Linked DNA regions of Drosophila melanogaster. The protein of the gene in region 1 interacts with the protein of each later gene in a pairwise test. Each region holds a gene or a part of one and is shown in the gene's direction. Other genes may lie near its edges.

Region 1 (6,944 bases):
ACAAATCACACAAAGCTCTCAACACATTTTATTCGTTGGTGTAAGTCAAAAACCTCTAAGCGATTGGATTCAAGGTTACGTATAATGGTTTATTTCAAAACGATTTTAGGGTATAAATAAATGTTAAAGCTTTAAAGTTTTAAAAAATAAATATACAGGACTTTAAGACGTTGGACGTCTTGCACACAATATATGGAATGCAAACTTTTAAAATATTTTATAATTTCAAGCAGTATTTGAATTGTTATTTAATAACTCTTAACTTGAGTGTAGTGAAATTGCTTTTATTTTATTTTACATATTCAAAATGTTAATCGCAGTGTTGGGACCCATAAAAATGTCAGTTAAATACAATAATTCAATGCAAGTTCTTGTTTATATAAATCCAACTTTCTTTGCGTTCGCATCGGTCGCGAAATGGAACTACACACCAAAATATTTATTTTAATTATAATAAATCCAAATATTTTCATATGTGAATCAAAGCAAATGAAGCTTTTGCTAACAATTCCAGACGACTATTGTGAAACATATTGTGGTGGCATCTGTAATGATACAGTCGCTTCAAAGACTTGCGACAGAGAAGCTTATGATTATATTGCCACCAATGAATACCATTTAATTATGAGAGACGGACATTTAGAGGTTAACTGGAAAATTCCCGATCCAAACATTTTCATCATAAGTCCGATCAGCAAAGAAAACCGTTTGAAATTGAATGAGCTAATTGTATCCGATACAAGTTACCCAATACGTGCAGTGGATTATCTTCGGCAACTTGGTGTGGAGACAGTAACACGTTTCGAAAATCAAATAAATTCATTTAAAGTAATTGAAAGAGATGTCCATTATATCAATGGACCTAAGTCTCTTAAAATAATTATTCAAAGTAACCTTTACCTCAATGAAATAATCGAATATATAAATAAGACAACGGATAATGTGAATGAAATTATTATCAACGCATATAAAACGGTTGAAAACCAGCAAATTGCGCTAGACAACCTTATTTTTAATGGGAAGTCGCATTTAAGATCACTTACATTTATTGGATTTCAAATTGAAAACTTATCCACGAAACCATTTGCTCAGTTTATTAATCTCAAAAGGATGGTTCTTACCAATTGCACGGTTCGGAATTTGACATTTTTAAGGTTTGTAAAATTGATTAAAATTATAGCTTCCTATACATTGCTCTCTCATTAAGTTGTTTGCAATTCAGTATAAATAATTAATTTTCTATTACTAACTCTATTTAGAACTCTTCAAAAGAGCCTTGAACATTTGGAGCTGGATATCGACAACGAGGTGGATTTAAAATACTTTACAAACTTTTCCAGTCTCAAATTTATGAAGGTTAGGAACTACATTCCCAACAAGAACTTCACAGCTTTAATATGCACACACAAAAATTGTAATTTTATCCGTGGAATCAATGGGTTAGAATGCCCTAAACTTTGCCAATGTCTCTATATAATTGATGACTTGGAATTAAACATAGACTGCAGCAATCTGGGTCTTTTGCAAATTCCGCCCCTACCAATTCCAAGTTATGGCGGTGTGAAGTTGAATTTTTCCAATAATTCTCTCTCTCAGTTGCCAACTATGACTTTACCTGGATATAAATTGGTTAAAAGACTTGATGTTTCGCGGAATAGGTTAACCAACTTAAGTATCAATCACCTTCCAGCGAAACTGGACTATCTTGATGTAAGCTTCAACGAAATAATTAATATGGGAAACGATGTAATCAAATACTTAAGAACTGTCCCCATCTTTAAGCAAACAGGCAATCAATGGACTATTCATTGTGATGACAAGCCGTTATTAAATTTCTTTAGACATCTCAAATTGATAATACGGATGAAAAGTGCTGAAATGAAACCTATGTTCTTGCACTCGTTAACCGAATTACCTAAGGGGTTTTTGAAGTTTTTGGGAAAGCACTTCATTTGGCTAGGTGTGAGAAAACAAGAATACTATTTGATCAATGAGGAACAGTTGTTGCAAAGTATGCATCGCAAACTAAACAACCTTAATACAATTATGAGCATCTATAAGTATATGGAATGGCTTCACCGAAAACTAATATTCGTCAATCGGGAGTATGATCTATTTTATATTCGTCAAATGGCAGCCCCCTGTCCTCATAAGTGCGAGTGTTGTTATAGCCGCGATTCACTTATTTTAAAAATAGACTGCAGGAATAAATTTGTATATAACTTTCCCGATATCGTTGCTAGAAATAGTCGTCTTATGTGAAAACAAAATATGTCTAGTCCTATGGAACTGCATTTATCTAAAAATAATATATCAAACATAACCATCGCAATGCTACCAAAGGAACTAAGGTTTCTTGATCTACGTTTCAATAATCTCGTTACCCTGGATGACAAAGTCCTGAGTTACCTTAAGAAAAATTCAATTAAAACTAAACTTTCTGGGAATCCCTGGAATTGCGACTGTAAGTCGAGATCAGTCCTTTCCATTTTGAGAGATCACGAACCCCTTGAGTATGACGTCACGTTGAAACGTTGCAATATATCTCCAACGGATTGTCCAGATGTTTGTGTCTGCTGCTTGGATAACTTGACATGGCCATCATTTATTGTCGATTGCAGAGGAGAAGGACTTCTACAGATGCCTTCACTTTCAAGCAGGGTTACCTATGTGGACCTAAGGAATAACAACCTTACGGCCCTGTCACAGAAGAATCGTTCTTCTATCGAGAACAGATCGTTAAAGCTGCATTTGCTTGACAATCCCTGGTCTTGTTCTTGCAACGATATAGAAAAGATAAATTTCATGAAGAGTGTGTCTTCAAGTATAGTAGACTTCACTGAGATAAAGTGCAGTAATGGTGAGAAGCTAGTCTCGATTAATCAGCATATTGTGTGTCCATCTGACCTCTTTTATTATTTGGCACTCGCGATCTCCCTAGTGGCCACGATCATTGCCTTAAACTTTTTGATATGGTTCAGACAACCGGTCCTGGTCTGGTTCTATGAGCACGGTGTGTGTCTCAGTCTGTCAGCCAAGCGGGAACTTGATAAGGACAAAAGGTTCGATGCCTTTCTGGCGTTTACCCATAAGGACGAGGCTCTGCTGGAGGAGTTCGTGGATAGGCTGGAACGTGGTAGGCCCAGGTTCCAACTCTGCTTCTACCTGCGAGACTGGCTGGCGGGCGAATCTATTCCCGATTGCATTGGTCAATCTATAAAGGACTCGCGGCGCATTATTGTCCTCATGACAGAGAACTTTATGAATTCCACTTGGGGTCGCCTCGAGTTCCGACTGGCCCTCCACGCCACCTCACGCGATCGGTGCAAGCGTCTGATAGTGGTGCTCTATCCAAACGTGAAGAACTTCGACAGTCTGGATAGCGAGCTAAGGACCTACATGGCATTTAACACCTATCTGGAGAGAAGCCATCCGAACTTTTGGAACAAGCTGATTTACTCGATGCCGCTACTACCAAGCTACGTTGACTAGGACATTACATTATTAATTTCAATAAGAAACAAAAATATATAATTTGTTGTCTCCCACACAGTTTATTTTTTGAGATTTACATAGTTCCCGGAAGTATTCCGACAGGTTTCCGGGTCAACTGGTTTAGCAGCAAGGACCGCAACCGCAAAAACTGCTGGTGCCGCCGCAGCAAGGTCCACATCCTCCGCAAGGACCACAGCAGGGGCCACACCCACCACAGCAGGGGCCACATCCACCACAGGGTCCGCATCCGCCGCAGGGGCCACAGCAGGGGCCCTGATAAATCATATTAAAAGTATTCACTCGACTTACGAGACCGATAAATACATACCCCAACCAAAACGTAATTCGGGTTGACGTACATGTACATGATTTTGTTTCTTAAAAGATATTTCCCAACCGGAATCGAAAGGAACCGAAAATTTAGGTGTTAACTATTGAAGGTGGAACGGAGAACTGACTGAATGTGATCCAAATTAGCCGAAGCTTCATTTGACAGCAGTCATGAGAATTTCAAGGCTAATATGATCCGACAAATTATATTCATTATTATTATTATATTCTGGTATCCCAAAACCCATAATCTAGTTAGCTATGGATATTTTCGACAGTTGTCAAATTCATATACCAACTTGTGAGTCAGGTTTCCATCATTCTTATTTTGGTTCTCGGCCTGTAATCATCGAAATATTTTTTCGTCCTAAGTTATTTCTTTGTTAGGTTCAAAGTGAGTATTTCTCAAAGTGTAAGCATGCGAAGTTTTAACAAAATTTTTCTTAGAACTTTACGGAACCATCATGTGTTGCGGACCCCTTGGATTCTGCGGACCCTGTAGCCCGTGCGGCGGTCCTTGCGGACCTTGCGGACCCTGTGGTCCTTGCGGTTCCTGCTGTAGTCCTTGTGGATCTTGCTGTGCGCCTTGCGGCCCTTGCGGTCCTTGCGGTCCTTGCTGCGGGGGCTGTGGTCCATGCGGGCCTTGTGGACCTTGCTGTGGACCTTGTAGGCCATATTGCGGGTGCTGAACAACAACCACAACATGTAAAATATCTTTTTCCTGTGAACCACAAAGTGGAACTTAGGACTGAATGCGGATAAACTCTTCTTAGCTCGCGGGCCTAGTCAATAAAATAAGAATTTCAAAATACCTTTTCCGATGGTTTTTCTCTTCTAAATGGTGCAACCTTTGTCTTAGCTATGGATACCAAATGCGTGACAATAATAATTTATGTAATATAATTGCGAAAATTAAAATTGTCAATTCTTGGTGGATTGCGATCGTTAGAGGGGGCGGAGGAACATCCTACGTTCATATCGACTAGGCTTGTGATCCAGCTCAAGAATAAATAACCTTTTCTTCTATTCACTATAGCATAGCTATTACTCTACGAGTGGCGGGTATAAAACCTGCAACCGTGAATTTAAACCTCATTCAATAATAGTATTTGTCTGCAAACGGACAAATGTCCGATAACAATAATTCTATAACAATAATAACTATTTTTAACCATCAACCGCTGTACATAAACATAATTCGAATTCATAGTAGGCTATGGAAATCGTTCTTGACCTGTCAGACCCACCTAACCTTGTAAGTTCGGAAAATATATCATTCTCATCTCGACCCTTGTGCTGCTCGCATCAAAATTTTGTTGTTTTGTCCCAAATACTTGTTTTTTTTTTTTGGCTTCTAAAGACCGTTGGTAAAAATGTTTATTGTAAAGTTAAAATAGTATACATATTTATTTCGTTTATTTTAGACTTCTCGAATTAATCATGTGCTGTGGACCTTGTGGATCGTGCTGCGGATATTACTGCTGTGGTCCCTGCTGTGGACCTTGTGGACCCCGATGTGGGCCGTGCGGATCCTGCTGTGGACCCTGTGGACCCTGTGGACCTTGTTGCGGACCATTTGGCAGTTGTTGCGGTGGCTGTTGGTGCTAAATGCTCGCAATTGGCAGCCGAATCGATTTGTGAAACCATACCACAATCCCACCATGGTTAAACTAACACCTGAAAGTTAAAAGCCACAAATATATATATATGTATCTTAATGCAGATCCATGTTATCATTGGGATAGTTCACCATTGCTCTTACTCGGCGTTACTCGTTGACATAATAGGAATGCGTTTCGTAATATGTATGTGGGTGTAGGTTTCTTGATCAGGAACACTAGCCGGATACTAAGCGAGCAGATTGTATTGCGCTGCGAGCACAAGTTGCTATATGGAAATGGTTGAGACGTTCTTGGTAATACCATTTTATTTTACACGAATGACGTCTCAAGGTGATTGATTCTGCCTTCCGACGAGCTTCACTAGGACGTTCTTTGTTGTTCCCATCTGGATCAGTTGTACTGCTTGCTACGGCAGGACATTTTCTTAAGCACGTTATTGTAAAATTCACTAAAGAACAAAATTAAATTCCTTTTAGGGCATTGATATAAAATTTTTATTAATTTTGCATTTGTTTATTTTAAATCTAGAAGGCTTTGAATCTATATTCTACTTTCCTGTGCAAGTTCTATGTAAGCAAACATCAGTTTTCATCTTTCCCTTAACCCAAGAACATCAAAATTTGAGCTCTTTTCCAAGCTTTTTAGGTTCAGCACTTTGTACGTAGTTTTTTATTTAAGAAAATTGTTGGTATAATAGCTTTTCTTTTAGTTCTCAGAAATTAAAAAAAAACATGGGCTGTGCACCGGGCGGACCTTGCTGCGGACCCTGTGGACCGTGTTGCGGACCCTGTTGTGGACCCTGTTGTGGACCCTGTTGTGGACCCTGTTGTGGACCTTGCGGGCCCTGCTGTGGCCCCTGTGGACCTCGTTGTGGCCCTTGCGGACCCTGTGGACCGTGCTGTGGCACTATGGAAAAACGAAATGGCCTTCAGCGGTGCTGTCCTTTTTAGCTGTGATTTCCCGAATAAGCAACCAAACTGTGTCCAAAAAAAGATTTCATTAGTCTATTGTGACAAATAAAGGGGAACTATGAAAACTATCAAATTAATGGATCTTAGCAGGGAGCCAATGTAATCATTGCAATTTCATTCATTCACACTCCGTACAAGAACTATAAAGATTACTGCTTTTCCTCTGCTACCTTTGCTTCACAAGCCGATGACGAATGACAAGCCAATCCAAAAAGGCAGTAGCTGAAGAGAGAAGCAATCTCCATAGGACAATCACCATAGGACAATAGACCAGGCTAACACTGAAGCCTGCGGCAATACATTCACACACGTAATAGTTGCATTGGGCTTAAAAGGAGCAGTTGGTTTATGCCAACATGCTCAGGTAATTGGGACGATGCAGTTGGAAAATAAAAAGTAATCCTGCCCTTGCAGCAATTAAATTAGCCAAATAGGGGATGTTAATTAGTGTCAAGTACCTTGAAGTAAATGGTGCCAAAAGAGGCGTGGCCGAGGCCAATCAAAATGATTTCCAAGCAATGTTACT
Region 2 (8,978 bases), on another chromosome or scaffold:
CGTTAGCCGACTTCAAATGCTACCGATAGCAGCTGCGAAAGCGATAGCGTCGGCAATCGAATCCGAATTTCCCACTTTAAAAACTAAGAAGTTTTTGTAAGCCACTATGGAAACTCCACCCACTCCCACCACGACCACACCGCCATCATTGACAACTGAGGGCACCATGGACGACATCCAATACCTGCTGCACCTGGAGGCGATGCGCCGTTTTCAGGAAGACAGCCGCAATGTAAAGCGCCAGGTGGAGGAGCAAGTACGCATTTGGCTGGACGCCAAGTGTGAGTATCAGCGGGACTTTGGGCGGCTGGCGAGGCTCCTGAAGTGCGGAGCCCTGCAGGCGGCCGTGGATGCCCATCGTGTATCTGATGTGAATCAAGTCGACCAGGCGGCCAAGGATATCGCTAGTTTGCGATCCAAACTGGGCAGTGATCTGCGTCCCGCCATTCTGGACTCCAACGATGTGAAGCAGTGCCTGGAACATCTGAACACCACCCACAAACCGCGCCTAAATCTATGCCGGCAACAACGGGAGTTCGCCCAGAACCAAGAAGCTCTAAGAAGTTTGCGTACCGCCGTCGATGGATTGGAGAATGGTATGGAGATGGGCATGATACAGGCAATGGACCGCCTTGTGGAGGATCTTCTCCCACCGCGGGAAACAAACAACTAGCCGGTCGTCTCAAAAGTATATATAATATTGTATGATATAAACTAGTTTATAACATTAAAAACGGAAACTGTAAATGAAAACTACAAGCTACAACGAAGCCAGGATCATCCGATGAAGAATATTGGTAGCGGAAATCTAAAAACAAAAAAAAACGGATTCAAAGCTGTTTAAACTCAGTTATTTATACGGAGAAGATGAGGAGATTACCATTTGGAGCGCTTGGACCAGTCTTTGGGTGTCCAGTGCAGGCATTTCGAGTCGATGCGGATCTTGCGCTTGTCCATTGCTCGCCGGTGTTGCTCGATGATAACCCGGTTGATGCACACGATGTACTGGCCCTTGTAGTAGTTGATCAGGTTCAGGTTCTGCAGCGTTGAGATCACGTCCTCTTTTTTGATGGATGTGCATTCGCAGATGTCGCTGTGAAGAAAAATTTTGGGAGCATGATTAATCTATGTTTCGGCAATGAAGCACAATCTCTGTGGATTGAAAATTGTATTACTTTAAGCTTAGAACTAGCCATACTTTATAGTTATAGTGGGCTTTTCGCCGTCCGTGCTCGGGTTTTGGCTGATAAAGATCTCCAGTATGGTTTGCGCCCAGTACGATCGATAGGACAGCAAACCCAGATCAGACAATGGTTTCTCCGGCGATCCCGTCTTGCCCTCGAACTTGGACAACTCGTAGCTGAACTCAATGAGCAGCTTGCCGTAGCCCTTGCGCTGATACGGAGGCATTGTGAGAATGCAGGCCACGTTGTAGTCCTCTGTGCTCTCCTTCTCCTTGGAGAAGTACCCTACTATGTGGAAGCCGCGCGAGTCGAACTCTGTCATTACGTAGAAGAGAAACGGATCGGTATCATAGTAGAGTGTCTTGTGGTCGAGAAAGAGTTTGGCAAGCAGGCACAAGTTCTGGGCATACACCTTGTTTTTGCGTCCATCGATTTCAAAGAAGGAAATTGTATGTTTGCGATAGATCTCGTTTCCCGGTGGATGCCTAAGATTGCACTTGGACAGGTGCCTCTCCAGGCACTTCCTGCTCTTCCTGTACTTCAGGCAGAACTCGCAGATGTAGATGCAGGGCATTTGACACAGCTCTTGCGGATAGGGTGAGAAATACCAGGGCTTAATGCGATGCCTGCCCAGCTCGATCATCTCCACGTTCTTCATGCGGGTGACCACGTCGTCCTGGTGCGTAACCATGCTGCCTGATTGCCTCGGCGTGGGCGTCTTGCCATCCTGCGATCCATCACCATCATCATTGGCCGCTCCGCTTATTAAACCGTCGCCGGTCACATGCACGGGCGTAGCCGTGGGTGTCTGCGGAGTTGTAGGATGCGGATGTGACTGCTGCTGTTGACTGGTCAGACTGTGGTGTCCATGGGCCGAGCCTCCGTGGTTTTTTCGCTTGCGATTGATGCGTTTCTGAAGGGCTGCGGCCAGATTGTTGCCATTCACAAGCTCTCCCCCACTGCTTGGTGTTCCGGGTGGAGCCACAGAGTTTGGAATGCCAGCAGGGGGAGGAACACTGCCTGATGCACCAGTAGGAGTCTGGGGGATGGCTGCCAGAGCCCCGGAACCAGGGTGTTGCGGTGATGTAGGCCGAGAAACGCTGCCCGCTAGGGAATGGTGGCGCTGTGGCGTGGTCACTCCAGTGCTGGTGCCTGTTTGTGAGCCGTCTCTCCGCGGAAATTGCACCTTTCGCGTGTACAGATCCTCCTCGTTGACCCACTCGTCCAAGCGCTTGTTGACTGCGGATTGGCAGTTATACTAAATATGCTCCCACTGGACGACTTGGTACTCACAGTCCACATAGTGCACGTAAAACTGCCGGCGCCCATCCAACTCCTTGATGCTCACAATCTCCGCTAGTGGCCAGTCGTCCGTTTTGTGCATCCTGACGGGTAAACGACATCCCTCGGTTAGGGCGGCCTGCAAGTTTGCGGTTAAAACCATTAGAATGAACACCCAAAACACGCCAAGGCGTAGCGGAACCCACCGTTGACTCGCATATGGAGGCCACATCGTCGTCGAACTCATATTTGTGGTTAATTTTCATTTGTTTATATTTTACGCGTTTTTTTTTTCCTAAAACAGCAGTATTGCCAGATAGCGAAACGTAAATAACTATCGACCAATCGATTACCGCCACAGTGAATCAGCGGTTTAAAAATGTTGATGACATGGGCAGTGCTGCGCAGCGTCGCGTCGCCTTTTCAAAGTGCTGCACAACACAACAACAATTCCAGAGAGTTTTTCAATTCGGGTTCGGTATTTTTTCTCATGTGCCTACTGTGCAATTAAACAATTTCGCCCGCTTACAAACAACTGTAACATATTAAGCACAACCGTTCGACTCAATTGCAGTTGCTAGAACTTGAGTGCGCAGTTATGTGCTCCCTTCTTTTCAGTTGCCAAACCAAAAAATAAAAACGCTGAGAAGGTCAGAGAAATGTACACAGGCGTAAATTTGTGTGCGTGTGTGTGGGTGCGTACATTCGTGTGCGCTCGTGTGAGTGCGCAGAAAGTTATACAGCTGTCATCGACTGGCGTATTTATCAATAAATGACTACTGTGATCCGCGGAAAACTTCAGTTACTGGGTAATTGTGACCACAACTGCTGGGCAACTGTGCCGCAGTGCCCCAATGCTGACGAGCTGAGCGGGAAATTGGTGAAAAAGCTGTGTCAAAATGACGTGTTTTGCGATAGTGTTGCCACTGACAACAGCCGCAGGGCTGCCAACTCGATGGGCATATCCCACTAATTAGTTGCAAAACGGGCAGGCAATCTCGTGTTGATTAGTAAGATGCAAGCCTAGAGCAAACGCCGATTTAGCAATCTCAACGGCTTGCCCCTACAAACAACAAACAGCATTTGTCAACCCTGGCACGCAGCGTAGTTAGCAACACTGCTTTTTAGCCAAAAAAAAAAAAAAATAAAAAAAATGAATATGGAAAGAGACCAGTGCTTTTTAAAGAAATTCGAAGTCAGTGGGCCGCAAGGGGTCGCCAAAGACTAAACAGACGCACCTGCTACCACCCACCGCCCCTTGTCGCTCGTCCGCATGACCAGAACAACAACAAATGCTGCAAAACACCCAGTCAGTGGTCCAATGTCTCAGTTTCAGTTTTAGTCTCAACTTCATCCCCATTTCCCAATCAATTGCAGATCCGTGCGCACACATTTCCGTATTCCGGTCTGTTTGCGAGCAATCCGCATCCCCGTGCCCAGGAACCTACGTAAATGCCGCGAGCAAAGGTTTGAGCCGGAGGAGAGCTACTGACGACAGGCCTGTCAAGTGCAGCAGGAGTCCAAACTGATGCGCAATAGGTGGGCTCCCCTGTGCCTCAAACCGTCTGGAAGTCGAGAGGAATCGTTAGGAATCGGCGGAACAGCCTGCAGAGCACTTGCAGTCGCGGTGGCAACCACACGGCGGCTGGGCAGCTGGGCTACCTAGAAACATCGCGAAGAGAAGAAACAGTTTGTAAGCAGTTAATGGGAATGCGAGATATACCCGTTTACTAAAACAAACATTCCCCTCTTCTCACACGCCCTAACAGATTCGAGGAATTCGAATGGCATTTGTTTTTCTCCTTCGTTGCATGCCACCAAACGAAAGAAGATGAACAATGAACAAACGCCGTCATCATCGGACACACCGGCGGATCGTGTGGCATCTGGTGGAGCAGCTGCCAAACTGCCAACGATCATACCGGACACGCCCATCGTCTCGATTGCCGCTGGCACGATGAGCGAGAGCACCACGACGACCACCGTCACCAAAACAACGCCGACGCCGTTCCCACAGGAGCAGCTTATGACCATGATGTCAGACCATGTGGCGAAGGCAGACGCGCAGCTTGACGAGGCCTGTAGGAACCAGGGGGCCAAAGACGAGGACAGCCAAGGAGCGGCACCAGTGGCTGCCAACCATGTAGCCACCAGCGGCAGTAGCAGCAGAGGCAATGACCCCAAGAAGTCATCATCCCCTAGTAATAGCCATAGCTCTGGTAACCACGCAGCCACGGCAGACGCTGCCAAAGGATCCGCAGCAGAAGCAGCAGCAGGAGATACGTCCTTCTCGCAGGTCTTTGCCATGCTAAAGGATTCGCCCAGCGCTGAACTGTCGCGACCAAACCGCAGGGTACTCCAGTACGGAGCCACTGCCAAGGGCAAGACCCAGGACGATCAGAATGTCGGCAAGCGACAGAAGAAGAAAAAGGTAAGTGCGCTCTGGCTGAGTTGCATCTTAAGGTGGAAATATAGTGCATGTTAAGCAGAAACCGAGTTAAGATATTGTTTTATTAAGAAAAAGGTATAGTTATGTTTGTTACTCGCAAAATTTCACATTTGTGTACGTTCTGGAGGCTCCAAAGCTCTATGGTGTTTGGACTCCATATCTTATGCATGGCCAGGCTTGAATAGAGCTCTACCAGGGCGACTAAGTTGAGAAACAACTAAGTAAACGTAAAATTTGAAACTAATTTCGATTTTGGGTGGAATTCCAGTATTGGACAGCAAGTTGTCCGATCTTTACGTTACCACCAAAACCAAGGTATACATAAATTAGATATAAATATTGTTTATTTGCACACTAAGCTATAAACTAAAATAGATTCTTACGCTTGCGGTCCATTAAAGTTGTCGAAAATGAAAATGCCGAAATCCCCTTAAAACATGACCTTTGGAAAAAACTTTAAGTGAGCCGATTACTCACTCACAAACACTGTTTTATCGAAAACCGAATTTTATTAAAAAAAAAATAAATATTGACAGTCAAATTGCATCCCCCTAATGAATACATACTCACATACATACATATATGTATGCGAATAGAAGCCAAAGTACCGTTTACGAAGTTAATGGCAAAGAATTCGAAAATGATGTAGAAATAGACCAAGCATACTGTTATCTCGTTCTGACTGACTGGGATTGTGGCTTTCGAAATAGTGCCGTTACATTTGGTCCCATCAAGTAATCGCCACACAGGAACTTCAATTTCTGATCGCAGTCGGTTTTTTGACCAGCGCCTTCGATAATTATTGAAATCAAGACCCCGAATCGGGCAGAAGGAACGGATAAAACCGCAAAGCGTTTGTTTATCTTATAAAAGCATTGGTGACATCCGCGGCATTAACCACGAAAACTTCTCGCCTATTCCCGTTATTATTTCAGTTATTGTTTTTTTTTTTTTTTTCTGTTTTCTTGTGTTCGTGTGCAACACCATATAGTACACATGTGTGTGCGTATGTAGAGCGTTTACTTACTGGAACCGTGTGCCATTTAATACTTCTATTGCTCTGCGGTCGGTACTTCATCAGTTCGCATAAGGAACTCAGAAGGGCATGTGTTTGGAATAAGTGGAGCTCCGAATTCTTTTGTTTTTTTTTTTTTAGGTTAAGTCGCAGCGATTATTGTTTTACACGCATATGTGTTCGTGTTGATGACCCGAAAAATTGCAAAACTAATTGCCAAATATTGTTCTTCGACGCTTTTGCAGACAAAATACGATACCTGGGAAGATAGCGATTTTAATGATCTGGACGACGCATCATTGAAGAAACTTCTCGAAGAGGCCTACTGGTATCGAAATCCTGGCGACAGGAAGAACAAGAGCGAGCGATTTCTGGTAAGTTTTGGCTCATGTATGTGCAACATATATATGTGTGTATAAATATTTCTGCTTCACGTCTTTTACGCCTGCAGCAAATGCTCAAAAAGGCTGAGTACGACGAAGAGATCTCTTATCGTGCCATCAAATCCTGCCTCACAATCAACCCATCCGCACTAACGTCCAGTGCAGCAACAGGCTCGAGCGGCGGGAGCAGCAGCAGTGCAGGGCACAACAGCAGCTATAATTCCACCAATCACCGGTCAACGGATCCCGGCCAGCGGCACAAGCAGGGCGGCTCCCTGCAGGATCTCGTTGAGGCGGCGCACCGCAGCGAACTGGCCACAACCTCGGCGGCGGCGGCAGCAGCAGCGACAGCGGCAGCAACCCAACGTTTCAACTGTGATTACCAGCTGAGTGGTCGCTCCAATCGCCGGCAGCAGCAGCAGCAACAGCAGCACAACCAAAACGCCACCTCCTCCGCATCCGCATCCAAAAAGATCAAGAACTTAAACGTCTCGGGCCGGCAGCGCGAAGGAGGCAGCCTGCCCAGCAGTGTTAACTTTGAGCCGGCATCGTCTGCCATGGAAGCCAAGCAGAATAAGCAACAGGCTCAGCCTTCGACAGAAGCTGCAGGTGGCTCGTTTTCGGGGTCGGTCGGTAACAAGCACCACCACCGCAGCAGCACCGGCAGTTGCAGCAGCCTGATAACTCAATCGCGCGATACGGAGGCAAACAATCAGTTCGACTTGGACATGGACGATGCGACGGGTGTTGGTGCCAGCGCCGTTGTCGGTGCCAGCGGCGACCAAGACGACAACATGTTGGAGGTAAGCGATGCCAAGTATTGGAGCCATTTACTGTCGATTAGATAATCTTTCACATAGTAGATTGATTTCTATCTAAATCGACTAACGAACGAGTTTGTAAGAGACAAACTTCTTGCATCGACCTACACTCTGTGATTAATCTCGTGATTTTGGGATCCGCGCAGATGGGGCTGTGTACATACATTTCTAATTCCCCCGCTTTCAATTTCATGTACAGCAATTGGATCCTCAGAACCCCTCGATGAAGTTTCTGATTGACGCCCTAAACGACACGCCATTGGAGGCCAGGTACACCGGTGCCGGCAAAAAGTTCCTAATCGACGACCGGTTGCATTTTTCCGTCCTGGAGCTGTCTGCCAGGAGGAAGCTGCAGCAGCAGGCACAATACCTGGCCGCCCTCACCGGACAATTTGGTCTCGGCCTGGAGGAGGAGAAGCGCAAGGTAGAGGCCGGCTACGTGTCGCTCAACGACAACTACACGGCGTGCTCCTCAGTTTACGGCGGCGGTGCAGGTTCGCCAGCTGCCGTGGAGGGCAGCAAGCCCTCTACCTCCTCCTCGGCCGTGTCTGGCGGTAGCAACTGCGGTGCCTCCTCTGACGCACTGTCTAGCGATCTGCGACCTGCGAAGATTGGACGCATGGTCCCCGCCGCAGCGGCAGTGGCAGCTGCGCCAATGGGTGGCAAGACGACTACTGTGAGTAAACATAAGGGTTATAATTACAGAACTATAAGTGCAGCTTGTGACTCTTCTTTCGACTGCTAATACAAACTCCGAGAATTCTAATGTTTACAACATCATTCTTTATTTTTTTTTTGTTTTATTACAGCGACAGCTAGACGAGAATGGAAATGCATTGGGCGATGGTTTCGGGGGCAGTGCAGCCAGTGGCTCCAGTGGCGCCAGTGGCGCCAGTGCTGCCGCCAGCAGTAGCAACGGCAACGGTAACGCAAACCAGTTCACAGCTCTAATAACCCCCACGGTGGGATCCAGTGTACCCACCTCTACTGTCGCTCACCGTCAGAATAGTGTCTCCACGCTGCTCTCCACGGGCACCAACACTACAACAACGGCCATGGCAGCGGCGGCGGTGGCTGCATCCTACAGCCAGTTGCAACAGGCACCGGTCGGAGGCGCGGCTGGAACGGTTTCTGGGATCGGCATTGGCATGCAGCAGCCCACCAAGCAGAAGACGAAGAAGAAGTCGCAGCAGGAGCGCAACACCACCACCGTCGATGTGGAGTCGGTTGCCGGCTATAGGGGCAATGATCCTGTTGAGCAGCTCGTCAAGTACATTGAAAACGATGTCAACGGTGGCGGAAACAGTGCCGCTGGACAGCGCAAGAAGGAGCGCAAGAAGCAAAACAAGCTCAAGAAGAGCAACTCGTTGGAGGAGCTGCGCACCTGCTCAAAAATGGAGGTGGACGATTTGAAGCGCCAGTCGGCGACCACGGAGATGATGCGACATAAGAAGGGCACGAACAATGCATCCTCGGGCGGATCGTCGTCGACGGCCTCTGGTTCCTCAAACAGTGGCAAGCACAACTCGGCATCCGTGGCGGATATTAACAAAAACTGCAACAAGGAGCAGCAACAGCAATCGACGCCGACGGTGCAAGTGCGCAACAGCAACAATCCAGGAACGCAGCAGCGGAAGGGCGAGCGTCGGTCCTGGGGCACCGAGGAGTTGCAGTACCTGGGTGACCACCAGGAAATATCCGCTGCCTGGTCGGAGCTGGAGACTGTGGGCCAGAAGGAGCTGCCGCTGGCGCTGCCCGCCTTGGCGCGCATGTCCGAACTGGATGCCCTGAATACCGTCTTGTCGGAGACCGCTGAGTTCCATGTGGTTACCAAGAAGAAGAAAC
Region 3 (8,283 bases), on another chromosome or scaffold:
TGTGTTTGAAAAACCCGAAACCGTTTAGCTGTTCTCCTAGGAGGCTTTCATACACAGAAAAAGACAGGTTACAAAAACTATTAGACGAATATTTGGAAAACGGATTTATACGACCAAGCGACTCGGAATATGCATCGCCTATTGTTTTAGTGAAAAAGAAAACTGGAGACTTACGTATGTGCGTCGACTTTAGAAAACTTAATAAAATGACAATGAAAGACAACTATCCTCTACCTCTTATAGATGACTTGTTAGATAGAATGAATGAGAAAACTGTTTTCACCAAACTCGATCTTAAAAACGGTTTTTTCCACGTGCATGTTAAAAAAGAATCAATAAAATACACCTCTTTCGTTACACCATTAGGCCAATACGAGTGGCTGCGAATGCCATTTGGCCTCAAAAACGCCCCGTCTGTGTTCCAAAGATTTGTTAACAAAATTTTTGCTGATATGATTAGAGAAAACAAAGTAGTAGTATATATGGACGACATTCTATTGGCAACCGAAAATATAAACGAACACTTAGAAACGTTGAAAGAAATTTTTAAAAGATTAGTTGAAAATAAACTTGAATTAAGAATAGACAAATGTGAGTTTATGCAATCGAGTATAAAATATCTTGGGTTCATAATAAATAAAGACGGCATAATGCCCAATGACAAAGGAATCGAGGCAATAAAAAATTTCCCAATACCTAATAATGTTCATACAGTACAAAGTTTTTTGGGATTATGCTCATATTTTCGACGGTTTATAAAAGATTTTTCTAGACTAGCTAAACCATTGCATGACATTCTAAAAAAAGATAAACCGTTCAAATTTGGTAGTGAAGAAATGATTTGTTTTAATATGTTAAAAGATAAATTAATACAGTCACCGGTCTTAGCTATATACAATCATAAACACGAAACAGAATTGCATTGTGATGCAAGTTCTTCTGGATTCGGTGCTGTACTTATGCAAAAGAAGGAGGACCAGAAATGGCACCCAGTTTCATTCTTTTCAAAACGGACAACAGATATTGAATCAAAATACCACAGTTTCGAGTTAGAAACTTTAGCCATTGTTTATTCGTTACGTAGATTTAGAGTTTATCTTCATTGGAGGACATTTAAAATAGTCACCGACTGCAACTCATTAATTTTGACCCTAAGCAAAAAAGAGCTAAACCCTAGGATAGCCAGGTGGGCTTTAGAATTCCAAGGTTATGATTTTGAAATTGTGCATAGGGCAGGTAGCCGCATGCAACATGTTGACGCACTGAGTAGGTGTACAAATATTATGGTAATACAAACAAACAGTTTCGAAGATAATCTAGTTATATGTCAAGGGAAAGATACAAAATTAAAAGAAATCAGGCAATTGTTAGAAAACACAGAAAATAAATTGTATGAGATGAGAAATGGTATAGTTTACAAAAAGACAAATGAAAATAGATTGCTGTTCTACGTTCCGATAGAAATGGAAGAACAAGTGTTATACAAATATCACAACGAACTTGGACACGTAGGAAGAGACAAAATGATAGAAGCTATAATGAAAAACTATTGGTTTCCAAATTTAAAACAGAAGTGTAGCACACATATCAGCAACTGTTTAAAATGTATTTCATTCAGTCCCAAAACAGGAAAAACAGAAGGATTTCTACACAACATACCTAAGGGAAACAAACCTTTTGAAATAATCCATATTGACCATTATGGTCCAGTAGACTTGGCTAGACCGAAGAAACATATTCTAGTGATAGTAGATGCATTCACAAAGTTTGTCAGACTATACGCAACAAAAACTACGAACACAAAAGAAGTCATACAATCGTTAAATGACTACTTCAGAGCATACAGTAGGCCTAAGTGTATCATATCAGATAGAGGAGCATGTTTCACGTCTGGCGATTTTGACTCATTTTTGAAAGAATGCAATGTTAAACACATAAAAATTGCAACAGGATCGCCACAAGCCAACGGTCAAGTTGAACGTATAAACCGAAGTCTTGGTCCAATGATTAGCAAGTTAATTGAACCTGATCAAGGTCTACACTGGGACTTAGTCTTAGAAAAGGTCGAATATACCCTGAACAATACACTACACCGCAGCATTAAACAGTATCCTAGCATAATGTTATTTGGGTTACAACAAAAAGGACAAATTATGGATGAGTTAAAAGAAAAAATTGAGGAAATTGGAGAAACGATTGAAGAAAGAGATTTAGAAAGTATTAGAAATAAAGGCGAGGCAAGTCAGAAAATAGCACAAGCATACAATAAAGAATATGTTGACAAAAAACGAAAACGATCAGGAGTGTTCACAAAAGGCGACTACGTCATGGTTAAAAATTTTGACTCAACAACAGGCATAGCTAAGAAGTTAATTCCAAAGCATAAAGGACCCTATGTCATAAGCAAAGTTCTCAAAAATGATCGCTTCCTTCTGGAAGATGTTGATGGATTTCAAATTTCTCGCAATCCTTACCGGGGTGTATGGAGCATACAGAATATAAAACACTGGCAAAGAAAAATTAAGAGTCTACAAAATAGAAAGTATAATTTGAGAAACTCTGTACAAAATAGAAAGTATAATTTGAGAAACTCTGTACAAAATAGAAAGTATAATTTAAGAAACTCTGTACGAAATCGAAAGTATAATTTAAGAAGCAATTGTAAAACAAAGAAAACAAACAAGAAGAAAAGAAAACCAAAAAAATGTTTAAGACCGTTCAAAAGTATCTCCACTAAGAAGAATAAAATAAGAAACAGGACCCTTAGCTTTAAGAAACGTTAATTGTTATAAAATCCTACGATCGGGAGATCTAGTAGTCAGGACGGCCGAGTTGTAGTAGGCTGCTCCTTCTACCCTCTTCCTTTACTCTTAGTCATACATACCTAATTATACATAGCCAATCTAGTCATAAGCTTATACACTCATACACCCATCCTTAACATACAAATATTATCGAGAAACTTATCGACTAATCGACTCGCCACTCTGCAGAGAGCGCGGCAGTCAGTCGCTGTTGAACCAAGCTAAAGGACAGATCAAAAATAAAAGAGACACGTGAAATTGTATTAGAATATTAACTTCTGTAAACGGCGGCTAAAGTATAGTATAGTATATTCTAGTATGGTATCGTATAATATAGCATAGTTATAGGTAACAAAATGATACAAAAAAATAATAATAATATTCAAAGAGACATGACGAAGAGCTCAGTTGACGCAGAAATCGTTCAGCAATTCATTTATTGGTCCGAACTCCGAATTAAGATATTCGATGAGATTGGGAGTTCGGTCTGTAGATGACTATTCCAGCGTTTCTCAGATGTTCGAGAACCGTCAATGGCGCTGAGATCTTGGAGATCTTGGCGTGACATATGCAATTCCCTTATCAATCCGATGCGATACCACCGCCACCACAGGAGTCTGTTCTTCTGCGAAATAGGCAATTCCGATGTTATTGCCGTGTAATTTACATGCGGCCCCGCTATCGTACATCAGTAAATCAAAAATCGAAGAACGAAAAATCAGCGCTATCTTGGAGTTCTGATTGAGATAGCGTGTGCATTTTGGAAATTGTTTTTCGCCGAACAAAACCGAGCAGAATGGCCTTTGCATATTTAAGAGCTCCAGCCTCCGAAGGTGCAGTATCATTTGAGTTGTGAGTGCCGCCAAGATCGCAGCGGGGCGTTCGAGAAACCAGGATACAAGTTAACCAAAGGATATAAAACATGAATAGAGGTAAACTAAAGTGGGACGCCAGCTGAACATTGACAGTGATGGATTTCGTTTGAAAGAATTGCTCTTTAAAAATGTACATATAAATTAAATTCAAACATTAAGTTTTTAAGTTGATAGGGCTTTCTGGCAGAAGGGTAATTTTCGTACCAGCTATCGTAGTTTAAATTTAAAAATTGACTCACATGTTTGGGGTTAATAAATGGTAAAGCACACTGGATATGCCATCCTGTTCCTGACACAATGTTCCCACGATTTTCGATTTTACTTGCAGCTAGCGGTGTCCTGTCGCTGCTGTTTGTGGCCAGCGCCCTGGGCGGCGTGATCGAGGACTTTGAATACCTATCGGTGGCCGAGATGTGCGACCTGCTGCCGCAGGAGACAAGCTTCCTGCGACCGAATACCTGCGACAACTGGGTGCGGTGCGCCAGCAACTACAGCGTGCTGGAGCAGGGCGGCTGTGCCGCAGGACTCAACTACAACAAGGAGCTAGGCCGCTGCATCCTGGCATCCTCCAGCGCCGCGGTGTGTCCCTATGCCGACAGCATTGCGGACAAGGCCACGAACCTGTGCGCCAACGAAACGGAAGGCGCCTTCATCGTGGATCCCAGCAGCAGCGATTGTCGCGGCTACATCTTGTGCAAGTCGCACAAGCAGATCAAGGCCAACTGTCCCAACGAGCTGATCTTCCATCCCGTATCGAGGTCTTGCGTGTACGAAAAGCAGTACCGTTGCCCCATCAGCCAGACGAAGAAGACCAGTCCCGCCTGCCGATCCCTGCCGAACAACACCCGTCTGGCCGATCCCGTCCACTGTGACCAGTACTACGAGTGCGTCAGCGAGGTCTTGCACAGCCGAGCCTGTCCAGTGGCCAGTGCCTACGATGCTAATCTCGGCTACTGCGTGGATGTGGCTGAGGTGTCCTGCTACGAGAGTGCCGCCCTGCCGGAACCGGAAAACACCTTCTGCCTGGACAGTGCCACCGGATCCGCTCGCGTTGGCTACTTTGCCGACGACGAGTCCTGCTCCCACTACTATATCTGTGGCAGCCCCGTCGCCGGCAAGCACGACACGGAGCCCAAGCACCTGAGCTGTCCACTTGGCCAGTACTTCGACTTCGAGAAGCTCTCGTGCCGCGACAGACTTAACGTACGCTGCCAGCTGGACAGGTGTGTGGGCACCAACATCACCTACGTAAACGTCGCCGGCGATTGCCAGAGCTATGGACGTTGCTCCGGCGGAGTGACCGTCAGCCTGGGCCAGTGCCCAACGGGCTACTACTTCGACGAGCGCAACCAGGGATGCACACAGACCAACTACCACAACATCGCATGTTCCGTGTAGGCTGTCCCAGAAGATCGCATCCTTACCACAATCCTTACCAAATCGCATCCAATTTAAATATCCAATAAATCGATCCAATTCATGGTGGAGGTCAAATGCATTGCTTGAAAGGAATTCATGTACTTTGTGGTGGGAAGTGTTAAGTTTTATGACATTCATCCATTTACTTTTTACCATGGAAATGGGTCTACAAATATTAGCTTCTCGAAAAATGTCCAATAAATGTGTTACTCCATTGAAACCTGAAATGTATATATATATAGTTTATCCATTGCATTTGGCTCTATTGTAGTTTTATTCCCTTTCCATTCGAATTTTACCGTCTGCTTCCTCTTTATAGAAGATGTTACCCTAACCTTGAACAATAAAATATGAATTGGTATAAATAATGCTAGAGAAATACTATGATTTTTTGGACTGATTTTTGAACTACATTGGCGGAAATGTTCATTAGCGAAACGAAGTTGGCGTGATAAAATTCTTCTGGCAACCCTTTTGATATCAAAACTGCGCCACACAACGATTCATATTTGGCAATCTGTTTTCGTGACACTTGCAGTGCCCAAAAAATTATCAGTTTTAATTAAAATTGTACCCCAGTGGAGGGTTCGGAGAATTTCAAACCGATTCCAGATAGTCCAGATAATGAATTCGCTACTCGGAGCTGCCGCGATCGCTTATTTCCGTGTTGGCCATCAGGCGAGCAAGAAGTATCCAACGCCCAAGGGTCGTTTTTGTCTATCACTAATTAAATTCAACTATTAGGGTCGATGTTACCCATTAGGTCCACAAATATTGTATGAGTGTGAAATGCAAATGAAATGCATCGACGCGCTTTCGTTCTCCATAGAAATCAATTATGTCCACTTTAAGAAGGAAGTTATACAAGTCCACAGGGCGGATGATTGATTTGTATGTAGGAAAGGTCAAGTATTCAAATGACAAACGGGGCAACTTTGCAGCCTCGCTATAATGTATTAGTATTTATTGATCATAACAAATAACGATAACAAATTCCGAAAAACTCAATAATATAAGTTATCTTGTTATGACACCTCATAGACATATGTACATGTACATATATGGTGCCTAATGAATAAAGTGGTTTGAATAATCAACTTTGTAGTACGATAACTTCGTACTTTTCCATTCAAATCTCCTATTGCAGTTGTTAAAAACGGTGATATCACCCATGTATGGGCCATGAATGGGATCCAATGGCTACCTCCCTGGTACTTTCCCATCGCCAAATTTCCAAGTGGTGTTCTTGAGTATGACATCACGGTTTCACGTTACCGAGTGTCTTGCTCGGCAATCGATTCAAGGAAATCTTGGCCCAGAGGTGATCTGGTAACTTAATCGTTATTGCGCCTGATTACACCACTTATATTTATTGTATCGGCGTCGAAAAAACAAACTGTCTAATTAAAACTGATTGCGTACGTCGCTCACGAGACCAAAATATTGCTGATAGTGCCATTCATCAGCCGACGTTTTCTGGCAGGCGGGATAAGATTATATTATGGCTCGGATGGTTCACAAATGAGTCAACTTTTAATCGTACAACTAAGCTTTTCGAAATAATCTTTTTATACCTAAATACATTTGAAAATTCAGATGTTTGTATTGTGATCAATTCCACGAAATCTAAACAAAGAGCTGATCTATAATTTGTATGGGACTTGGGCCTGATAACAGCACTACTTATACTTATGAGGAGCTGCTCACGACACCGGGACCGCAATGGTGGTGCTAGTGATGGTGCTGCTGGTGGTGGTGGTGGTGCCACTTGGAACTTGGGACCCGGTGGTTGCCTCCGATATCTGACAGGCGGTATATGATATGACCTGGGTGGTGCACCGTTGGGTTATTTCGTCGAAGTACTCGTCCTGCGGACAAGTTCCTTGGCCAATGACGATGCCATCCTGGCAGATCGAGTAGCCCCTGCAGCCATCATCCGACTCGTTGGCCAGCTGAATGGTGGAATTGCCCAAGCCCACGCATCGATCGTAGCCGCATTTCACCTTGGATCGCGGGACACAGGCTCCGCCATCGGTGGCCAGGAAAAATCTTCCATCGGAGCAGACGCCATGCTCCAGCGAGAACTCTCCATTGCCCAAATCCTTGCAGTAGTAGTAGCCATTGCAGGTCTTGTTATCCGATATAAATCCACCCGTCTCTGGACATACACCCTTCTTGCTAATATCTGGCACTGGGACGAAGTCACACTCCACATTCTGCGGATAATCGCACTGGGCCGTGGAGGCCTTGAAGTAGAAGGTGCCCGGACAGGTTCCATTGATCACCTGGCCATCCCAGCACAACTGATAGCCATTGCAGTTGTCCGTGTCCTTGACGAAGACCCCATCCGGCAAGATGTTGCAATAGCTATCCGGGTCCATTTTATTCGAGCACGGAAAATCGCGGATGCAGTCCTGCGTTCCCGAATTGAAATTCATCCCAGTGTTGCACACTCCGTGCGTCCCCTTGCCATCCTTGCAATAGTAATAACCATTGCAGGAGTACGGATCAGCCGCGAATCCGGTGGGCAGAGCAGCGCACGGATCACTGGACAGACACTTGATACTACTGGAACTCAGGCATTTCTGGCTCTCCCGGTCGTAGAAGAGTCCAGTCGCACAGCTACCACTCACAGGGCTCCCATCGATGCACTGAATCCACGCGTTGCACGCCCGAGGATCGTTCATCTTGGTTCCGTTGACCACCAAGCTACATATTAGAGTTGCATTGAAGGTCAGGGCGCCTGATATCGTGGGGATCATGATGAGTCCGGAAATGAAGGCGAGCTTTGTGTCTGTTTTGCATAAAAGGGTATAAGTACGATATTCGAAATAAGTTGCAAGTGAAGTATGCTTTCAATTTCGATTTAAATTGCATATTTTTTTTTCAATAAATGTTTGAGTTTTCGTTATGAACTTCTTGAGCCTAAGTCTACGGTTTTCTATATTTATATCTGTCTATGAAATGGTAATTCTTCTCGAAACAACAATATAGTTACTTCGATGGATATCTGCTAGTGCCAGAGATACTCACCCATCTCGAGTTCAGCAAACTTTTAGTATTCCAAAGATACAAGTACCTCTTAACGGCTAACGAGGAAAAGAACGTCTAACTGGATGCCATCCAAGTTCGCCAATAAATACAAATCGAAAGACAATGCTTATGCCCTCGCTACTTTTGGGTTT
Region 4 (9,117 bases), on another chromosome or scaffold:
TTTCTTCATTCGATTTTTATGAGTATACATTTAGGATGCATTAGAAGATTTTCAAAAAATTACGGAAAATACAGAAAACATCATAAAGAAAGTGTAGCTTGAGATCTCTTTGAGTCCGTAATCTAGAAAACAATCTTTGTGCATTTGGTGATGTATTTGCAATTTGATCACTAGAGAACTTTGAACTTGCAGCTGACCAGCTGAGAAATAGAAAGCGAAACCAAAAGATAACTCTATAGGCGAGTTTCTCGACTATAAGATACCCATTACAGCCAGTGGCAGTGTGACAAATAAATTTTAAAGATATTTCTGGACTGTTGACTTTTGTGTTCAAGCTTTCTCAACTTTCTGCCTTTTATAGTTTCTGATATCTGGACAGACAGACATTCGGAAAGATCCTGATCAAGCATATATATAGTTTATGTGGTCGGAAGCGCTTACTCCTATCTGTTACATACTTTTTAATCAATCTTGTATCCCCTTTCACTGTCCGAGTAAAGGGTATTGTAAAGGGGGAAAAATCCGAATTGACCCAATTGAAAACTGCAAATTCCCTTGGCATTAATCATCAAATGCAAAGCAGCCAAGAATAAAGGAGGCATAAAATATACACAAAATGCAGACACTTGTTGCCTCCCCCAAAAGAAAATGCTGTTGGGAAAATTGCCAGGGCGAGGAAAATGGTAAAACTGACGTCGAGCAACTGTCGCCAAATTGGTTTTGGCTTGGCGCCCCCGAAGAAAAGGAAATATATATATATATATATACACGCATATGAGAAAATAAAAACATTAGCACAGTTCGGGATGTTTTATATACCCAGCATATGCCGCAAAACCAAAAGACACCAAAGTGCCCGCAAAATGTGGCAGAAAATATGTAGTTTATGTGGTTTGCGATTCCATCTACAGATAGCACTTTGGGTGCCCTATAATAGTGTGAAGAGTATTAAAATTCGCAATATAAAACCATATAAGAGTGGACTTGGAGGTTTCAAGACATGAAAAGATGCAACATGAGTCATGCTATGTTGAACTGTTGACAATTTGAAATATAATTATAGTATAAAGTAGCTTGAATTGATCGATGTTAATATTCAAAATTTGAAACTGAAAAGCCTGCATCTCTTAATTTCGCAACTAAAATCGCAGCCCAAAGCAATCAAGAATTAGTTCTAGCCACTGTGCGATATACTTTCTTTTTGGCCGGAAGACATAAGCCAAATAAACACTTGCGCTGGCTGCCAAAAGAAAGCCGAGCAATTAATATCAATGGAGAGCCCACGCACAGAAAGCCGCAGAAATGGCATAAAAAGTGGCCGCAAGAACGGCCGGCAAATAATGTTGTCGTAAAAAATAAACCACAAAGGGGATGGGCCGCCGCCTTGCATCATCGCCAATTGCCAGACGCTATAAAAAATAGCTTTGCAACTTGTGGCGCGATGTCACGCCCCCTTCGCGCTACATACATATGTATGTATATGTCTATATATATATATATATATATATATCGCACATAGCGGGTACACATGTCTCATCGACTTCGTCATGGCCTTTATTTTTAGGTTGCTGCCTGCCGCCGTCATGTCTCGTTTTTCGTTTCGATTCTCTGCCAAATTATTTGAACGCTGCGTTTGATTTACTTGCAAATTTGCTGGCACAGTTTCCCGATTTCAGTAGGCCAACCAAGTCAACAGCCAGCTGGCCGAAACGGCTGCGAATTGGCCTTCTTTATCGCCACCTTTTGAGCCGCATAAAACAGCAAACAGGCAACCAGGCAATTTGTCGTGGCCACAATCTATTAAGCTCTGTCGTAGAGCATAAATATCGCGGCTCTTCTGGAGCTCTGATAATTTGTTTATTGTTTATGGGAATGGGAAGTTTTGCCACTTTATCTGAAACATGCTCTACGGAGTAAAAAGAAGAATTAAAGAATTATGTAGGTGCTATTGGCATAAAAGAATGCTGGCGAGACAAGCTATTTTATATACTGCCTTTGGGCGAATCACTTGGAGAATTCTATCTATATTTCAAACTGAAACTTTATATAAGTGCACATAGATTTGGAAGTACATATGTATCTTCAAGTCAATTGTTCACAAAGATCTAATATCTTGCTGGATTGTCATACAAAGAAATACCCATTTATGTATGACGTCAAGCAAATATTCTGTAATTTTTCCAAGGGCAGCGAGCAAAGTGCAAATCATGGGGATTAGCTTTCCCAAATATTCACACGTCCCAGGGCGAAAGATCTCGATGGAGCCATAAAAGGCATTTACAGATATTTGGTCTAGACAAGCAACAGCCACAAAGACAGACCAGACACATTTTTCACTTTCACTAATTGTCAATTCTGTAGCTCCATTGAAGGAAAACAAAACCGCAGACTGAAAACTGAAAACTACAAACAACAAATTGAAAACTGGAACTTGAAAGGGGGAAAAATGGGGGTCTGAGTGATAAGTAAGCGATCGCTTTTCTCAGCGCCCTCGCCAGATGATCCAGATATTATAGTATCTGGCACTTTCAAGAGCGGTATTTAGAGCTCGAATTCAGAATGAAGTTTGGTTGAGTCATTAGTGAATCACCGCATATTCTTAAGTTGTTAGAGAATTCTCGGCTGCATGGTTTTATAGTGCCTATTATGTATGATATTGAACGAAAAATCGTACGTCTATTTGTGGGGCCATTATTTAGTGATATCATCAGAAATACAGACAAAGACAGGATGTAGATAAGCTCGACGTACGCGATTAGCAGATTTCTTTGTTAGAATATAGCAGCTTTTTAGTTTTAACTTATACAATAACCATATATATACAATTAATATCAAACTGATGGGTTTGATCTCTAGTAAGACTACAGGAAGTAGAAAACAGCGATATGAAAATTTATCAAAATTTGTTTGCACAGACGGAGGTGACGAACTAAAAATTCAGATCAGGCGACACATATGCAAATTCCCGATCGTGGGTGTCTACAAGAAAACTCGAAAGTCGGGAATGTTGTGGGGGGCCAAACATTTCGGGGCGGCGTAGTGGGGAAGTGGGTGCAGAGGACTGCGGCATAGACGGTCGCATGCATATTTACGCTTGGTGTTGAGTGAAAAGAGAGTAGACAGCTACAAAACCAAAAAAAAAAAAAAAATTCTTCGGACCTATTAAAGATTATTGGCCTGGTGCGAAGTTAGCTACGCCCACGAACCACGCCCACTTGTGGCAGGGCGGGAGCATTCGAGTGTTGCACAACAATGTGTGAACAAGGAATGCATGCCTATGATGACGATCTCAGAATACCCTAACAAAATCCTAACCGATCATTCAGTGATCTTTATAATGTTATCATTACTTATAGTTTTTAGTTATTGAACATTGTTTGGAATTCGTTTCATGTACCTTAACTTACACCTTGTTTCAATGCTTAAGTTTGCACTTCAATCCAACATATTTTCTGCCTTAATTAGACAGACTGATATGCCCAAAACGAAAGGGCATTCAAGTGTTTGTTTTGTGGTCCGGCTTGATGTTTTATCGGAAAAAGGGGTAAAAAGTTTTTGTCAGCCCGACTGATTGACGGTAGCGCTGAAAGCTGTTGTCCATCATCAAAACCAGAGAACTGAGAATGGAGTAGAAATGCCCCCAGTCTCAAAAAAGAATTCCCGACTCAGAATTTCCGAATGAAAACTCAGTCCGTGGATGCAGATCTGCTTGATTGCCACGCTCACTTGACATATGTATATGATTAATAAGATTTATGGGCTATTAGCAGAACCAGCCAGTGGCCATAAATAAGACAAATCCGCGAGGATTCCAGTCCTCAACGGCAAACGTGTTGACAGGCGGAGCAAGATCTGAATGACCAGCTGAATCACATCGTTACGAAATCGAAAAAACTCCAGCTTAAAGTCTGTCTTATCAATAGACATTCCCCTTATTTGCCTGCAAATGAGGCATTTATGTTCGCCACCACAGCCAAGTGGCTAATCACTTCTATTTATAAAGTGTACCTAGATAGGCTGGAAAAATAATATAGTATGTTAATTACACATTGGAATTGAAAACTCTGTTACCATTAACATTAACATAACCATTAACATAAAATCATGATTAGCGTCCTAAAGCAAACAATTGATATCCCTTAGTTACTCAGCTAAGAGAAGTAAGTGGTACTACAATATAATTGCTCATAACATATTTAAATGACTCTATTGGAAATTTCTCCACACCAACATTTAGGGAAACAAGGACGAACAACCGGGCAACGGACCATAATATAAATTTACAGGTATGTAATGTATGCAACTACTTTAATTGGTATAAATACGATAAGTATTCAGATCATAAGTAGATCAGTAGATAAGTAGATGTCGCGATGACGTCACTATGGCAATCTCAAAAGTGATTCCTCTCCCAATCTCTGTGAGAGAGAAAGGCGAGCAGAGCGCAAGCTTTTTGTGGATCGCTTCTGTGAAACGGCAATGCCGAACAGTTGTACGTTGGAACTCGAAGCGATCGGTCGCATGCTCCGTGAAATTCAGCACTCAAGCTTAATCCTTTGAAACTAAAACGGCGTCCTTATAAAAATTAAGAACTTGATGAAAAAATAAGTGCAAGGAGTTATAAAATAATCTGTTAAAAAGTGAGCAACAAGTGAATCCTTTGTTAATATTTTTAAATGAAAAATTATAGGCTCATCGAAAAAAAAAATGAATTGACAAAGTTGATGAAGCACAAATTTACAATAATTGCATTTCACAACTTCGCGTAAAAAGTTGTAATGGAAGTTAGTTGTAATTTAAAGTTAGTTAAAAGCCGGCTTTTAATTAACAACTGAGTGTACAAAATTATTGAACAAAACAAATAAAAGGCCTATTGCAAGTGATGTGCTTGTTTTATGTTTTTGAGCAGCGGCTATAAAATGTTTATTGTCTTTCTGGCAATGTCTAACAGTTTGAAAATCGGACAGCCACAAAGAGAAGTGTAAATAAAAAACGATTGAGTAACAAGTTGTTTTATTTTTTATTTCAATATTTTTTGCATCAGAGAAAACGCCGGTTCTACGCAGCTGCGCGTTAAAAGCAAAGGCGTGTGCCAAAATACAAACATTCAGCTGCCAAAAATATTTAGCAACTTGTTAGACTCGAAAAATTCTCTGGCAAGTTGGAGCATAAAATTAAAACAAAATTAAAAAAAAAAAAAAGTTCTCGCAAAGTGCAATTAACGGAGCAGAAAAAATACAATGCAAATGAGCAACTATAGAAGTGGAAAATAAAGTGAATAAAACGAAAAAAGTACAGCTATTTAAAACTTACATAAAAACTCTACGAGAATAAATAAAACTAATAAGAAGCCAAGTGCCTAATATATGCGTATTTATTATTCTTATTTGCAGAAAGCGGAATATGAGGATGCCAATATAGAATTATCGCGATCGGAGTGCTAATCAATTAATTAAAAAAAAACCTAGAACAAAACTAAATAAATACAAAAATATTTCATGCAATATTTAAATATGAATCTCGTAATATGCAATCTCGTGCTGGCGTTCATCGTCATTACATTTTCGAAGACGACACACGCTTATTCCAGTTTTCCAACTGACATAAATAGCAATTACTTCGACGTGCGGAATTCGACCTTGCCCATGACCATGACCACCTCCCATCCACAAACCAATCGTCCTCTCGCTCGCTACGTTCTCCCCCCAAACGAGTTGCATACCGCGGACGAGGACGAAGAGTCCTCTGACTTAGAGCCGTACTTTGAGGATCGAGCGGTCCAGCGGGACAGGTCGTATCTCATCCGATTGATCCGCCGGCGCGTGCCACGTGATCAGGCCCCCCAGCAAGTAATTCTTCAGGGCCGCAGTCTCAGTGGCGTTCACTGGGGGCAGGGCGACGACAATCATCTCAGCTCCGATGCGGCCGTCGATGGGGTGAGTACTGTATCTCTAATCTGGGGACACACACGAGGGCAAACACTTCAGGCGAACCATAAACGTTAAGTCCTGCTTACTCGCCCCATACAATTTTCTCATCATGACATTATCGAGACGGTCAAATATTTATTTTCTTTTTTTTAATGACACGTTAAGAAACTTACATATATGAAGGTAAAAACTAAAAGAAGTAGAATAGAGTATCTCTTGTTGAATAATCTAACAAATTAAGGGAAATCTCTTGTTGAATAATCTAACAAATTAAGGGAAATCGAAATTTAGCATCGCTTTATAAGCTAAAAGAAGAACGGAAAATAACAACAGCCACAATTTTTTCCAGAAATGAGTCACAGCCATTTTTTTTTCTGATTTCTTTGGTCGACTCTCGATGAGTTTGTCAAGTATCTGCAGTAGCTGCAACTGCTTGTTGCGCATTAGAATGGTAATCAGAATCGGATCGCAACGAGATGGCTCACCTTGAACCCCACAGTGCCCGTAAAGCGACGGGTGACTAACCCTGGGACTGGCAATCGCTCCGTTCCGATCTCCGATCTCCCTGGCGCTCCACTTACCCATTGCGGATCGAGGATCGCAGATGCCACCCATGTGACTTGCCAGTTCGCCAGTTCGGCGAGATGAGTTACACAACGGCGGCAATTATGAAACGTGTTGCGGCAGGTAGGAGCTACCAATTTGGTTAACAAGCCAATTTGGCGGTGTGCAAACGGGAGCCAACATTATGCTCACATCCAGATCCAGATCCCGATCCCGAAGAGAGATCTCTGCCCAACAATCGCTTTCGGTTTCACTTTCCGGCCTGTAATTGTGCCGATCAGAAAGGGGCAGAACCTGTCGCTCTGCTGTTTCATTTTTTATGGCAATTTTTTTTTTCGTCTCCATGGCCGACAGCTGGTTGATGGCAATGAAACGGGTTGCAAAGGGTTTTTGGGATGCTAAAGACATGACTTTCCGTTATGGTGGTCCCTCGTTAATTGGCCTAATTGACTTGACAACTTGCAACGGCTGCCGCCGCCCTTTAGGGGAAATCAATCGTGTGTCTAAATATGTGGGATTTACTCTGTTTAGGAACAATTTCACTGATTTACATTGATTACTCGTAATTGAGATGGAACATCATTCAATACTCATATGAGTTTTATTACCAATTAATACAGATTTCTGAGAAAAATCGATTTTGTAGAAGAAGGGTTTTGCCAAAAAGTAACTCGATTGATGTATGTATGTCGAAATGATAAAGCGCATAATTCTGAGTTCCAAAAACAATGCTTTTGCAAAATCTTGGAACTGATACAGGGGCTGATTAATGTTCGCAAAATGAGCATTTCCAATGAACTTTATAAAATTAAGATCTCTTAAATTTTTTGGTTTATTATATCGTTGGCTTGAAAAAAAAAAATAGTTTTCTTTTTATTTTTACTTGCGTGAAATTCGCAAGAATCGACAATCCACAATATTGCGCAAGTTTTGAATATATACATAGCTTCGGATTTCCCCAAAGCTGACGACAATCATTTTTAGATTCTGCGATTAATCGCTTATCAGCACAATGCTGTCGCTTTTTATTCCCCGTCGCAAAGTCTGGTTTGGATTTTCACTCTTATCGCTTGCACATTTGAATGCAACTACACGCATAGAAAAATTCAATCTCGATTTGAAAATTTTTGAACTCAAAATCTAGCCAAGATCGACTCATGCTCAGCATACTCAGATCAAGAGTCTTAGATTGCAAGATGGTTTCTTCTCATGAGAACAAATGATGCCACCGACACAACCAATATCGTATTTTTCTGGGTGTATCGCATGCAAAGGTGCGATAAGGAGATATGGAGAAAATGGGTAATCGTTATGTGAGGGGGGGATGGGGGGTGGGGGAGCTTGTGGCATATGCACTCAGGCGGCATAAATAGCTTATGGTCTGTGTTCATGATTGTACCTTGATATCCCTGATATCCCTGCTCACATTTCCGACCGCATCCTTTGACCTCTGAAAAGAGGAATTTAATATCTGCTCGTCGGAACTTTGTACTTGGTACAAAGTCCCCCGACCACACCCACTTTCCGTCCGCCTTTTCGCCCTGGAAAATCGCTGTACTTGCCACTGAGCTCGAACTACCCACATGCCATTTGAGTTCTCCCTATGTGTTTACCTTTGCCAGTTTATTTGCCAACGCATTCCGTGTGCATAACTGCACTGAGATTAAGAACCGCGAACGGGCCCTATATGTTGGCCAAAATATGTTACTTATGGCACCGGGTAAAAATAACCCTGCTCGAATGAAAATGTTAATATAAGCCACACAAATGGGTCAGCAACAATTCTAGCATTGCAAACAGTCAGAATGTGAAATCGCATCGACTCAATCGATTAATCATCAAGAACTTAGTTGCTCCAGCAGCAGCAAGGTTAATGAAATGTAAATCTGCACTCGTATTTATAGGCAAATGTGCGATTAATATAACTTGATCTGGTCGCTAGCACACGACGCACAATCGTACAATCGCCATAGTTGAATGACTAGAAAATGCCTTTATCAACAAACAACACACGGGCTTAGAATAAAAGGAGGTTATCTGCGGCTGGCAAAGAATGTGTGAGAATTCTCAAGAATTCGCTACTATTTGCTCTTGAACTTACTGTGTGATAAGAACTAATTTACAAATAATCAACAGCAATTAATTATAGCAATTAGTTATTTCGGTTGACATTTAACACAATTTATAATATCATTTATAGTCAATTCTGAGATTAGTACATTCGCAGTGAACTTCGAAAATAAAATCATTTCACTCTCACTTCGAAGGCGCATCAAGAAATAAACAATGTTCTCTGCGCCCCATAAAAATTCTATAAAATTTCTATCCACAGCAAATCTGTGTTGACTCCGTCTATTGCCACATAGAGTTGAACGATGAAATCAGTTGCCACGCAGCAATACGAATTTTGGGGATAATGTAAATGTCGGCAAGATTTCTGATTTATTAGCAATCTTTTCAAAGAGTTGGAAAAAAAAAGAAACTAATGACGGTCAAATCGGCTTATGACATAATAGCAAACAGCTTTCGGGCGGTCTACAAAGTACTCGTATGTCAGTGATCTAAACATGATTTATGGTCCACAAGAGATCAAGTATTTCACGCGGAAGCTCTGCATATTTAT

What was found.
Region 2: the proteins of Mst84Db (region 1) and tyf interact in a two-hybrid assay, tested with the Drosophila melanogaster proteins (one large-scale study listed by BioGRID).
Region 3: the proteins of Mst84Db (region 1) and CG7017 interact in a two-hybrid assay, tested with the Drosophila melanogaster proteins (one large-scale study listed by BioGRID).
Region 4: the proteins of Mst84Db (region 1) and Pvf2 interact in a two-hybrid assay, tested with the Drosophila melanogaster proteins (one large-scale study listed by BioGRID).

Annotation. Positions count from the first base shown.
Region 1 is NT_033777.3:7,362,851-7,369,794, reverse strand, and holds Mst84Db (Male-specific RNA 84Db), read left to right. Parts: upstream 1-4,167; 5' UTR 4,168-4,219; intron 4,220-4,272; 5' UTR 4,273-4,289; coding exon 4,290-4,514; 3' UTR 4,515-4,635; downstream 4,636-6,944. Other genes in the region: Mst84Da (Male-specific RNA 84Da), read right to left, coding at 3,616-3,768, 3,824-3,862; Mst84Dc (Male-specific RNA 84Dc), read left to right, coding at 5,266-5,433; Mst84Dd (Male-specific RNA 84Dd), read left to right, coding at 6,179-6,397.
Region 2 is NC_004354.4:4,114,122-4,123,099, forward strand, and holds the start of tyf (twenty-four), read left to right. Parts: upstream 1-3,428; 5' UTR 3,429-3,774; intron 3,775-3,842; 5' UTR 3,843-4,158; intron 4,159-4,234; 5' UTR 4,235-4,296; coding exon 4,297-4,896; intron 4,897-5,592; exon of another isoform or gene 5,593-6,174; coding exon 6,175-6,303; exon of another isoform or gene 6,304-6,319; intron 6,320-6,380; coding exon 6,381-7,115; intron 7,116-7,332; coding exon 7,333-7,809; intron 7,810-7,942; coding exon 7,943-8,978. Other genes in the region: dgt4 (dim gamma-tubulin 4), read left to right, coding at 107-673; Tip60 (Tat interactive protein 60kDa), read right to left, coding at 808-808, 881-1,093, 1,199-2,423, 2,478-2,604, 2,672-2,731.
Region 3 is NT_037436.4:20,207,477-20,215,759, reverse strand, and holds CG7017 (uncharacterized protein), read left to right. Parts: upstream 1-3,637; 5' UTR 3,638-3,726; coding exon 3,727-3,736; intron 3,737-4,007; coding exon 4,008-5,077; 3' UTR 5,078-5,468; downstream 5,469-8,283. Other genes in the region: CG6996 (uncharacterized protein), read right to left, coding at 6,802-7,892, 8,132-8,135.
Region 4 is NT_033779.5:7,080,005-7,089,121, reverse strand, and holds the start of Pvf2 (PDGF- and VEGF-related factor 2), read left to right. Parts: upstream 1-4,486; 5' UTR 4,487-4,640; intron 4,641-5,393; 5' UTR 5,394-5,498; coding exon 5,499-5,936; intron 5,937-9,117.